Canis lupus familiaris: one gene and its partners. The protein of the gene in region 1 interacts with the protein of each later gene in a pairwise test. Links are inferred from orthologs where the notes say so. Each region holds a gene or a part of one and is shown in the gene's direction. Other genes may lie near its edges. The genes, in order: DDIT3, CEBPA and DBP.

Region 1 (3,739 bases):
AGGCAAAAGTCAAGCAGTGCGAGGGAGAGACGGCGGGGGCAGGTGAGGGCGGGGGGGCGGGGATGGGGCCGGGAAAGGGGCCGAGGACGCGGGGGGCAGAGGGTAGGGACAGCAGGGGAGGGGAGGGGGAGGGGCGGGGGGGCCGGGCCCTGCACTCACCGCGGCCCATGGCTCGGCCGGCCCCGCCCTGCGCAGTCGCGGCCCAGAGGGTGAGTGGGAGGGAGTGGGAGGAGGGTCGGCGGAGCCCGAGCCTCCGGTACGGCCCCGGCCGGTCCTAGCAGGAAGCGCCGCCGCCGCCGCCGCGGATCACCGAGCGGCCTCCCGCGCATGCGCCATGGGGGCCAGGGGCAGCCCTGGGGATTCCGTTCCCAGAAGGCACCGCGCAGGCTGCCGCCGCCGCCGCCGCCGTCGCTGCCGCCGCCGCCGCCGCAGCCGCCGCCGCCGCCGCCGCCGCCGCTGCCCGGACGGGAGAGGGGCGGGGCCGGGCCCCCGCCCAGCGGACAACGACGAGCCAACAGGAGGGGCCGCAGTGCGCATGCGGGAGCGCGCCTACCCCTCCCCCACAACCCCCCATTAATCCCCAAGAGAACAAACACCCCACGCGGCCCCCCCGCCCTCCGCGGAAGGATCTGAGCCTCTTCCCAGGCCACCGGCGGCCAATCCCAGCCCTCCCCGGGGAGGGGCCCCTTCCAAAGCCACAGTCTGTCGGGGGAGCCAGGAATGCCGGGTCCGGGAGGGGCCGGCCCCAAAAGATGAAAGTCGCGACTTGCCCTGCCCCGCCCCAAAGGCTTCCCGGGTAGTGTGCTGGGACTTGACCCGCCTCCCCAGGTCAACATGTCACAACAGGACCTCCGCCTGTCAAGTCACATGACCTCTGCCTGTCACTGACAACCTGGTCATGTCTTTGGGCCAGGAGAGACCATCTGGTCCAACCCACCCCCACCCCCATCTACTGAAGGGGAAATGGAGGTCTGGAGCAACGGAGCAGGCCCGGCCGAGGACCTGTCACCGTCACACCACCACCTAAACCTCCTTGCAGCCACAACCGGCCTTGTGACAGATTCTACTTAACTCTGGCTGCCCCCGTGAGGGTATGACAGTGAATACAACCGGCCGCCACATGGCATCTTTTTTCTCTCTAATGGCACAAGAAAAACGTTTGCATTTTAAGCGATGCTTTTCACTTTTGTTTAAGCTGCCTCCAAGTTCATAGTGCTCTCGTTTTACCTTCACAACTCGTCATCCTTTATTTACAAACAAGAACGGTTGTGGCACAGATATTAGGGGGCAAGTAAAGGGGCAGGTGAGGCCAGACTCTGGGCTCCTGACAACCCGGTGCAAGGCGGCTGCGCGCTCAAGTGCACCCAACGTCCCAGGCAACGAGGCTCTAAGGTCGCCCGAGCACCGAGGCGGCAGGCGGCGGGTGCACGGCTCCTCACGCAGGAGTCACAGGACCTGCGCGGCTGGTACAGCGAAAAGGGCGGGTCTTGATCCTTGGTGGAGGCACCAGAGTACGGGGGGGGGGGGGGGGGAGGCTGAGAATCGCGTCCACCGGGCCAAGTCCTGAATCCTGGCATGCTGAGCGCTCATCAGAAACTTCACAAAGATAAAAGTTAGGGGTGCTTTTCGGCGAGGAGCTGAAAATGACCATCAAAAGTACTCAAGTTCCTCGGCCCCTTCTGGGGGAATTAGGGAGCTAAACGGGATCTTTCTATGCGCCTACTCGAGGAGACGTTAGGCGGTCCTGTGGCTGCATGCAAACTTTCAAAAGAGATTGGCTTAGAAGACCTCGCGCCCACTAACTAGGAGGGGACCGAGCAAAATGGGAGCCCCCCATGCAGACGGCGAGGCGGGGGCTAACGCCAGGTGGGCGGAATAAGGGCGCCGAGGAGGACGAGCCGCAGCGCGGCTTCGCAGGCAGCCTGAGGGCGGCCACGGTTGGGAGCCGTTGGGGCCGTTGGGAGCCCGGCGCTGGCGCCCCGCCCTCTCCTCTCCCCCACCCCCCCGCACCGCCCACCACCCTCGTCGGCCCCTGCGCGTGCGCGCCGAGACACCGGTTGCCAAACATTGCATCATCCCCGCCCCCCTCTCCTCCCCTCCTCCCCTCCCCCCCAGCTCTCCCCTCCGCGCGCGCGCATGACTCACTCGCCTCCTCCGCGGAGCCTCGTGACCCAAAGCCACTTCCGGGTCCGACACCACCTCTACCCCCGGGCCGGCGGGAGCGAAGGGGGCGGCGCCGCGGGGGCTGCTGAGTGGCGGGCGCGGGGGGCGGGGCGGGGCCAGCGCCGGCGTGCCGCGCCCTGATTGGCAGGCTTGCGGGCCCGCCCCCGAGGGGAGGGCAGGGCCTCCTTAAAACATCCGCGCTCGGGCCTCCGAGGTCAGAGGCTTGAGTGTAAGGCACAGAGCGGATCATGTTGAAGATGAGCGGGTGGCAGCCACAGAGCCACAGTCAGAGCCGGAACCTGAGGAGAGAGGCGAGTACCGATCCCACCTGCTCTTTACCCTCTAGTCCTCGGGGATGCTGGTTGTCCCTTCGAAGTTGGGGCATCAGCTGCTCAGGATGCGGCCCCACCCGTTCCCCGACGAAGTTAGTGACAGTTCGAGGGAGGGACGGGGAGCATCCTTTATCCGGGAGTGGTGCTTACAGACCTCTCTTCCCTCGGACGGGAGCGGCGCCCCACCCTGCCCGGAGCGCGGGCCCGGCTCTGGGCCGTCGGGCTAAGGGGTCCGGATGCCCTCGGGAGACTCCCTGTCTTCCGCTGCTGCCCTAGGCCGCCTCCTTGGTCCTGTCCGGTGGGAGGCGGGGCGGCAGGACACTCCCCCACGCCGAGACGCCTGGATGGCTCTGGCTCACGCCCTTGCCGCCACTTTCCCACCAGCGGCCCTGCCCCTACCCCACCCCCAATCCTGTCTCAGCCCAGCGTCTCAGGGCCAGAGTGGCCACGTCGGTGGATGGAGCTCCTGGGTCCTGCACAGGACAGCCATTCCACACCCTAACGGAGAAGAGAACCTTAAGGAGACAGACTCCAGACTTTGGGAGGAGGAGGGATGCCAATGGCTAGGGAGCAGAGATGGGTTTTCCCATTCCCCCAGAGGTCCCGGGGGCCTCCTGCACAAGAGAGCATTCTGGATCCCTTAAGTGTGGGAAGCCATTTGGGGTCTCCCCAGTGTAGGGTCCTTCCGCAGGGATTTGTCCCTGCTGCTTTCCCCGCGTCCTGCCTCCCAGCTAATTTCTGTGTAACCGTTGCATCAGGCCAGCCCCCTGTTTGGCTCTGCAGCCCTCTGGCCTGGGGCCCCACTGCTGATGAAAGCGGCATCCCACACGCTGGAAGGCAAGGAGGGTCCCCCAGGGAGGACAGCCCTGAAGAGAAACACTCTGGGAGATATTGCATCTCCAGTCCCCAGGGCTGGGCAGCTGCTGCTCTGCCTCTGGGCTTCCTCCTCCCTTCCCTATGAGACACTGGGGAGAATTCTTTCATTCTTCACAAATTACTTATTACACACCTGCTATGTGCCACACATTTTAGGCCCAGGATGCATCTACGAACAAGGAAAAGACCTGTTCTCACAGAGCTTACATTTCGTGGGAAAAGGTGCACAGCGAACAAATATAGAAGTGCCAAGGAGAAAACCAAAGCATGGAAGGGTAGTGAATGCCCAGGATGTTTACCTTGAGTCATTAGAGATTCTCTCACAGAGGTGACATTTAAATGAAACTTCTGAAAAGAGGCAAAGTAGT
Region 2 (3,739 bases), on another chromosome or scaffold:
GCGGGGCGCCTCCTCCGGGGCTCCCGGGCGGGCTCTGGCGCCTTGCCAGGCTCTGGAAGGCCACCTTGGGGGGGGGGGGGGAGGTCCTGGCCTGCGCAGCCCGGCTCTCCCCAAACGGGCACACCTCCAACCGGCGCCCGGGCGGTGTCGGGCTTCGGCGCACTAAGTCTTAAGGGGCGCTGCGGGGGAGGTAGAGGCAGCGGCGACCTGCGGGCCCCGGGGTGCGCCCCCGCCCCCCCGCCGCCGCCCGCGGTCCCGGGATAGAGCCGCGAGGCGCCACGTGGCTGGGGAGACGCGCTGCCTTAACCCCCAGCTCCAGCAGCGAATGCGGAGGCGGCGGCCAAGGGGACCCGGCCTGGCCACCTCGTTCCCCAGGATCCCGGGACCCAGCGCCCTGCGAGCCGCGGGCAGGGCCCTCCCGAGGTCCCCGAGGTCCCCGAGGTCCCCGAGCCCCGGCTCCCGCCCCGGAGCCCACCGGAACTGGGGCGGAGGTGCGGGGCGCGGGGGCAGAGGCTCCCGAGCCCGGGGTCCCCGTCCCGGCTCAGCTCGGCGTCCTCCGTCTGCGCGCCCCGCCTGGCCGCGGAACCCCGGCCCTGGGCTCCAGCTCCAGGCACGGCGCCAGCCCCGCGCGCCCAGCCTCCCGCGCCTCGGGCCGGGGCAAGTCCTGGAAAAGAAAAAGTTGTCCTGCCCCGCGGACCCGCCGGCCGCGTCCTCCCGCTCCCCGCGGCCGCCGCCTGCCTCGCCTCCGCGCCCCGCGCGGTCCTAGCGCCCGGCGCCGCCAGCCCGGGGACCCCGCAGGACGCGGCGGGCGGGGACCGGCTCCTGCGCGGCCTCGGCGGGGCGGCCCGAGGTCAGGGAGGGGGACGCGGAGCCGCCGCGCGCCGGGCGCTCCCCTCGGCCTCCCGGCCGGCTCCGGCCCCCTCCCCGCGCCGCCGCCCAGCCGACACCGGGGCCCCGGCGGGGCCACTGGGAGCTCTGAGAGCGAGTCCCGCGGCGGTGGCTCAGGCCGCAAGCCCGGCCCCCGGCCCCCCGGCCCCCCCGCCCCCACCGCGCGCCGCGCCTGGGCGCTCCCGGACTCCCCGGCCGCCGGCTGGAAGTGGAGCCCCGGGGCAGCCCGAGGAGGGGGCCCGGTCCCCGGCCACGTGCGTGCGGGGGCGACGGCTCGGCCCAGGGCGGGGCGCGCGCGCGTCCGGGTCGGGCCGGCGGGGCCGGGGCAGGGGGCGCCGCGCCGGGGCCCCTCCCGCCCGCGCCGCGCTGCGGCCCCGCTCGCCTCCCCCGCCGGCGGCCCGGCGCTAGGACCCAGGAGGCGCCGCCGCTCCGTCGGGCTCCGCAGGGCGCCGCCCCCGGTATAAACGCGGGCCCCGCGCGGGCCTGGCCATTCGCGACCGGAGCTGCGCGGGCGCGAGGCGGCGGGGCCCGGGGCTCGGGGGCGGCGGCGGCGGCGGCGGCGTTGGCGCCCCGCGCGGGCTGGAGGCCGCCGAGGCGCGCCATGCCGGGAGGGCTGTAGCTCCCCCATGGAGTCGGCCGACTTCTACGAGGCGGAGCCGCGGCCCCCGATGAGCAGCCACCTCCAGAGCCCCCCGCACGCGCCCAGCAGCGCCGCCTTCGGCTTCCCCCGGGGCGCGGGCTCCGCGCAGGCCCCCGCCCCACCTGCCGCCCCGGAGCCGCTGGGCGGCATCTGCGAACACGAGACGTCCATCGACATCAGCGCCTACATCGACCCGGCCGCCTTCAACGACGAGTTCCTGGCCGACCTGTTCCAGCACAGCCGGCAGCAGGAGAAGGCCAAGGCGGCCGCGGCCCCCGCGGGCGGCGGCGGCGGCGGCGGCGGCGGCGGCGGCGGCGGCGGCGACTTCGACTACGCGGGCGCCCCCGGGGGCCCCGGCGGCGCGGCGATGCCCGGCGGCGCGCACGGCCCGGCTCCCGGCTACGGCTGCGCGGCGGCCGGCTACCTGGACGGCAGGCTGGAGCCGCTGTACGAGCGCGTCGGGGCGCCGGCGCTGCGGCCGCTGGTGATCAAGCAGGAGCCGCGCGAGGACGACGAGGCGAAGCAGCTGGCGCTGGCCGGCCTCTTCCCCTACCAGCCGCCGCCGCCGCCGCCGCCGCACCCGCACCCGCACCCGCACCCGCACGCGCACGCGCCGCCCGCGCACCTGGCCGCCCCGCACCTGCAGTTCCAGATCGCGCACTGCGGCCAGACCACCATGCACCTGCAGCCCGGCCACCCCACGCCGCCGCCCACGCCCGTGCCCAGCCCTCACCCGGCGCCCGCCCTCGGCCCCGCGGGCTTGCCGGGCCCCGGCGGCGCGCTCAAGGCGCTGGCCGCCGCGCACCCCGACCTCCGCGCGGCGGGCGGCGGCGGAGGCGGAGGAGGCGGCGGAGGAGGCGGCGGAGGCGGAGGAGGCGGAGGCGGCGGCGCGGGCAAAGTCAAGAAGTCGGTGGACAAGAACAGCAACGAGTACCGGGTGCGGCGCGAGCGCAACAACATCGCCGTGCGCAAGAGCCGGGACAAGGCCAAGCAGCGCAACGTGGAGACGCAGCAGAAGGTGCTGGAGCTCACCAGTGACAATGACCGCCTGCGCAAGCGGGTGGAACAGCTGAGCCGCGAGCTGGACACGCTGCGGGGCATCTTCCGCCAGCTGCCCGAGAGCTCCCTGGTCAAGGCCATGGGCAACTGCCCGTGAGGCGCGGGGCGGCCGCCCGCTGGGACCCCGGGCGTGGATTCGTGGAGTCGGGCTCGGCTCGGGATCTCCAGGCTGCCCCCCGCGGCGCAGGCCCGGCCTGGGAGGCCCCGGCCCGCCGATTCGGTGCGCCCAGGACGGGGGTCAGGCCGGGCCTTCTCCCCGAAGGAGGGAAGCGCCGTGGGGCCGAGCCGAGCCCGAGCCCGAGCCCGAGCCTGGCAACTCTAGTATTAAGGATAACCTCGTGCCTTGGAAACGCAAACTCGCCGCTCCGATTCCTACCGAGTAGGGGGAGCCGATAGGTGCCTTGTCATTTTATTCGGAGGGTTCCTGCCGCACCCCGAGGTGCAGGCCCCCCACCCCCACCCCCACCCCCGGGGAGAGAGGGCAGCGTGCAGGCCCGCGGCTGCTCCAAGGGTCAGGATCTCTCGGCGCCCGTCCTCGGAAGGGAGGACATACAGGGACTTGGAAGGTCGTTACCCTAGTTCTACATGAAGGTGGCGGGTCCCTAGCTCCCTGCCCTCCAGTCTCCCAGCCTGTCACGGGCTGGGCTTCCCTGGGCAGAACTCACTGAGATGGGGGTCACCGGGTGACCGGCGGGAGCCCCTCCACCCCCACCCCCGGTCAGGCCAGGGCAGGCCAAAGCTATCTGGATACGTGTTCGTGGGAGTGGTAGCCTGGTGGCAGAGGGAAACCTAGAGATCTGGCCCCGGGGTGGGGGTGGGAGTGGGGCGGGGAGGTGGGGTGAAGGGACACTGGGACCATCAGCCTTGTACTGTATGTTGCCAGCATTGCCATACAAACATGAAGCACAATCTGTCCATCCCAGAGGGACCGAAGTTATGAGAAGCTTTCCAAATATTTTGCTTTATCAGCCGATATCAACACTTGTATCTGGCCTCTCTGTGTCCCAGCGGTGCCTTGTGCAATGTGAATGTGCACGTCTATGCTAAACCACCATTTTATTTGGTTTTTGTTTTGTTTTGGTTTTGCTCAGATACTTGCCAAAATGAGACTCTTTGTCAGCAGCTGCAGGGAGGGTCTGCGGCTCTCTTTCC
Region 3 (3,739 bases), on another chromosome or scaffold:
TATATAACCCGAGATCCCTGGCTCCTCCCGCCCCACGGGCCGTGCTTTCCATTACTAGGGTTTTCCAAAGTGGTACAGCCCGGATCCTTTCCCGGTTTCCATGTGGTACGATCTCAAGCTGTTCCATAACCCGACACACACCCCCTTCCTGAAAATCAACGTGGTACAACCCCCTTCCCTCTCCACTGCCTAGCCTGTGCGGTTCGACCCTGCGATCTCTGGGCCACCACTCTAGCTTCTCTGCGGGGTTTAGCCCTGACCCCTACCCCCACCCCCATGAGTACCTTCCTGCAGTTCCGTGTGATGCTGAAGCTGGACGTCCCCATTCAACCCTCCTGCTGCCTCCTGTTGGTTAAACCCAGCGCGGGTCCAGAACCTGACCCGTTTCCCCCAACTTCTCGACTTGGTACCTTCCGGCTTCCCCCTCCGCAGCCTCCCCGTGGTAGAGCCCACCGCGGCCCAGCCCCCGCCTCCCTGCAAACCCCCTGCAGGGAGCCCTAAACTAACGATCCGCTACCGGTGTCGTCTGTCTTACAGTGGATGGTGCCCCCCATGGTCGCTGAGACTCCCCGTCGAGGATTGCGCCCGTCCTCTCCAAGTCTCCCCACACGGGGAGGGGAGTTACCCCCAAAACAAAGCTATTAAAGGGACAGAATACTTCCTGTTTCTTAGTGGTCTGATTCTAGGCGCGGCGGGGAAACATGGGTACTGAAGAACAGCAGCCTGCTTCTAGAAACCAGTCTCCCTCTTCCTAAACCGCCCCGCTCGGTGTTTCGGCTTCCTGTTTCCCAAAACCGACATTTCGGTTGGCGGCTCCTTTAAGCGGCGCCTCTTTTCACTCCCCCAACTCCCCTCCCCGCCCGGCAGCACGCGCGGAGCCATGTGCTTCCCCCTCCCGCCTGCCTCATTGGCCCGAACTGGGTCAGGGTCCCGCCCCCAGTGCAGTCTCCCATTGGGCAAATGTAGGTCAGGGTCCCGCCTCTCACCTAAAGGCACGGCCACTTCACGCCCTGAGCCCCTCACGCGCCCTCCCGAGCCCTGGAGGATCCGGGGGTCCCATTGGCCGTGCGTCTCGAAGGGTCAGGACGCGATTGGCCCGCGCTTTCAGCCGGAGGGAGGCACGCGGCTGGGGTGCTTAGCCCAAGAGGCTGGCAGGGGCCGAGGGGAGGGGTGCGCGCTGTGGCGTCGGGTGTTTTGGTTTGGCTTTTTTTTTTTTTTTTTTTTTTCCGCGAAAGAAGTTTGCGTTGGCCACGCCTCAAGGCGGCCGCCTCCTCTTGCCCCCTCCCCCGCCCTCCGCGCACACCTCTTGGTGCAGATTGCAAAGCGCCTTCCGCTGAGAGAGCTGCAGATTTTGCAAGAGCCAGGCTCGCCCACCTTGTAGAAGGAGCGCCTGGTGTCCCCTTGAACTCTGAGTAGCAAAGAGCCGGCTGCCTGGTTTTGATCAAGCCTCTCACTCGGACTGCATGATCTCCTGGGACCCTCTTGAGTTGCACGTTTCTGCACCGAGGACTGCAAATCCCCGTCACCCCTAGGATTTGCAGTGTTCTGGATACTGGAGGCTTGCAAGCTCCGCTCGCCCGCCCCTGGGTAGGCACTCGCCCGAACCACAGGAGTGTGCCGCTGACTGGCAAGCCAGCTCTTCGCCTCTCCATGAGCCCGTGAGCCTGCGGGCAGGTGCCCGGTGATGGCGCGGCCGGTGAGCGACAGGGCCCCGGCTTCCCTGCTGCTGGGCGGCCCAGCCGGGGCCCCCCCTGGCGGGGGAGCGCTGCTTGGGCTGCGGAGCCTTCTGCAGGGGACCAGCAAACCCAAAGAGCCAGCCAGCTGTGAGTTCTAGCCCCCATCTATCCCAACCCGGACACCCTACTCCCATAGGGATTCAAGTGTTGAGGGGGGTGGGGGACTGGTGGCTCCCTCCTACGAGCGGAGAGTCCATCCTTTACCCGTCATCTACCCGATTACAAAGGTGTTCAGGCCCCTAAGTCCCTCAGCACCCAGGATCCAAAAGTACAGGCGCTCAAGCCCGTCCACCAGGAAGACCCAAGGAGTCCCCCCAAAGTCCTCTTTTCCGAGGACACAAGAGTCTGGGCTCCAGCCCCCGCTTCCTCTGGATTCTGAGAGTCTGGACCCCTGGGGTCCAGGGAGGAGGGAGGGGGTGTGTCGGATGCTCACACGGTAGTGACACGGGCTTGGGCGGGGCCTCCTGGGGTCACATGGAGTCTAGGGATGAGGAATGTGCCCCAGGAATAGAGCCCCTTCCTGCCCCTTACATAGTGTGGGGGTGGGGAGAAGAGATTCCTGTGAGCAAGGGGGTTAGACTACAGAGAAGTCTCACCTGCCCAACCCTCCACCTACCTCTGTCTGAACTTCCGTCCCCCTTCTGTGTCTCTATCCCTTCCCTGGTCTGTGTCCTCTCCTTGTCTGGGTCTCTATCCTCCACTCTTTCTGAGTCTCGGTACCCGTCTCTCTCTCTGTGGCGCCCCTTTCTGTGCTTTCTCTCTGGGTCTCTTTTCCTCTCTTGAGTCTCTGTCTCTTCTTTTGGGGTCCTTGCCTTCCCACTCTTATCTCTGCCTCTCCCCCGCCTGTCCGTCTTGCTCTGGATCTCCGTCGTGTGGGTCTCTATCTCCCCTTTCTTCGCGTCTCTCTGTCTCGGGGGTCTCTTCTCCATCTCTTCCTTCCCACCCCGCAGGTCTCCTGAAGGAAAAGGAGCGCAAGGCGGCTCCGCCAACAGCCACGGTCCCCGGGCCAGGCCTGGAGACGGCGGGCCCGGCGGATGCCCCAGCTGGGGCGGCGGTGGGCGGCGGGTCCCCGCGGGGGCGCCCGGGGGCCCCGCCAGGCCCGGGTCTGTTGGCGCCGCTGCTGTGGGAGCGGACGCTGCCGTTCGGCGACGTGGAGTACGTGGACCTGGACGCGTTCTTGCTGGAGCACGGGCTCCCGCCCAGCCCGCCGCCGCCCGGGGGCCCATCACCGGCGCCCTCGCCCGTGCGCACGCCCGCACCCTCCCCGGGGCCCGGTTCCTGCGGCTCAGCTTCCCCTCGTTCCTCCCCGGGGCACGCCCCCACCCGGGCTGCCCTCGGGGCCGCGGGCGGCCACCGCGCAGGTGCGACGGCGGGGGCGGGGCAGGGCCCTGGTGGGGCGGGGCTTGGGCTTTAGGGGCGGGGCTGTACAGCACTTGGGGCCGGGAGCGTGGGGCTGGGGTTGTGCGCCCAAGTTCTGGGGCTTCTAGGCGCAAGAGATGCTGGGAGAGGAGTCTGGATTCTCTGCTTCCTAATGCGTCAGGGACTGGGTCTCCTGGATCCATTGGAGATGGGGGCCTTGGGATCCCAAATTACAGGAAGTCTGCCCAGTGGGGCGGTAGTGTGGACTTTTCTGTGGAACGTGGAGACAGAGGGTGGGGACACTCGATTACTGGGGAGTGAACTGCGCTCCAGATTCTGGGCCTGGAATCTGTGGACTGGGGAAGAACTGTAACCCCTAGGCCCTCTACAGGGAAGAAAGCAAGGTCTGGGCACAGACTTATTTCACTGGGATCTAAGAGACTGGCAGCCCTAGTTGCTGGGTCCTCCAGTGGAGAAGAGCTAGGACCCGGGGTCGCGGAGTCCTCTAGATGGAATCTAGAAGGTTGGGGATCTTCAAACTGGGTCTTCCGTTGGGGCAACGACCGCGAGCCTCCTATGTTCCTGGGAGAGGAGGGGCCTGGGATCACAGAATCATGTATATCCCAGTGGCGAGGGAGAAGGTC

The links.
Region 2: the proteins of DDIT3 (region 1) and CEBPA interact in binary tests that used the Homo sapiens proteins (3 or more experiments, as listed by UniProt). The link is inferred for Canis lupus familiaris from reciprocal best matches to the Homo sapiens genes DDIT3 and CEBPA.
Region 3: the proteins of DDIT3 (region 1) and DBP interact in binary tests that used the Homo sapiens proteins (3 or more experiments, as listed by UniProt). The link is inferred for Canis lupus familiaris from reciprocal best matches to the Homo sapiens genes DDIT3 and DBP.

What each region holds. Positions count from the first base shown.
Region 1 is NC_049231.1:1,963,918-1,967,656, reverse strand, and holds the start of DDIT3 (DNA damage-inducible transcript 3 protein), read left to right. Parts: upstream 1-1,364; 5' UTR 1,365-1,466; intron 1,467-2,145; exon of another isoform or gene 2,146-2,228; intron 2,229-2,324; exon of another isoform or gene 2,325-2,474; intron 2,475-3,739. UniProt on the Homo sapiens protein: Multifunctional transcription factor in endoplasmic reticulum (ER) stress response. Plays an essential role in the response to a wide variety of cell stresses and induces cell cycle arrest and apoptosis in response to ER stress.
Region 2 is NC_049222.1:119,691,180-119,694,918, forward strand, and holds the start of CEBPA (CCAAT/enhancer-binding protein alpha), read left to right. Parts: upstream 1-1,429; 5' UTR 1,430-1,514; coding exon 1,515-2,343; intron 2,344-2,382; coding exon 2,383-2,684; 3' UTR 2,685-3,739. UniProt on the Homo sapiens protein: Transcription factor that coordinates proliferation arrest and the differentiation of myeloid progenitors, adipocytes, hepatocytes, and cells of the lung and the placenta.
Region 3 is NC_049222.1:108,347,752-108,351,490, forward strand, and holds the start of DBP (D site-binding protein), read left to right. Parts: upstream 1-967; 5' UTR 968-1,684; coding exon 1,685-1,823; intron 1,824-2,686; coding exon 2,687-3,097; intron 3,098-3,739. Other genes in the region: CA11 (carbonic anhydrase-related protein 11), read left to right, coding at 538-563. UniProt on the Homo sapiens protein: This transcriptional activator recognizes and binds to the sequence 5'-RTTAYGTAAY-3' found in the promoter of genes such as albumin, CYP2A4 and CYP2A5. It is not essential for circadian rhythm generation, but modulates important clock output genes.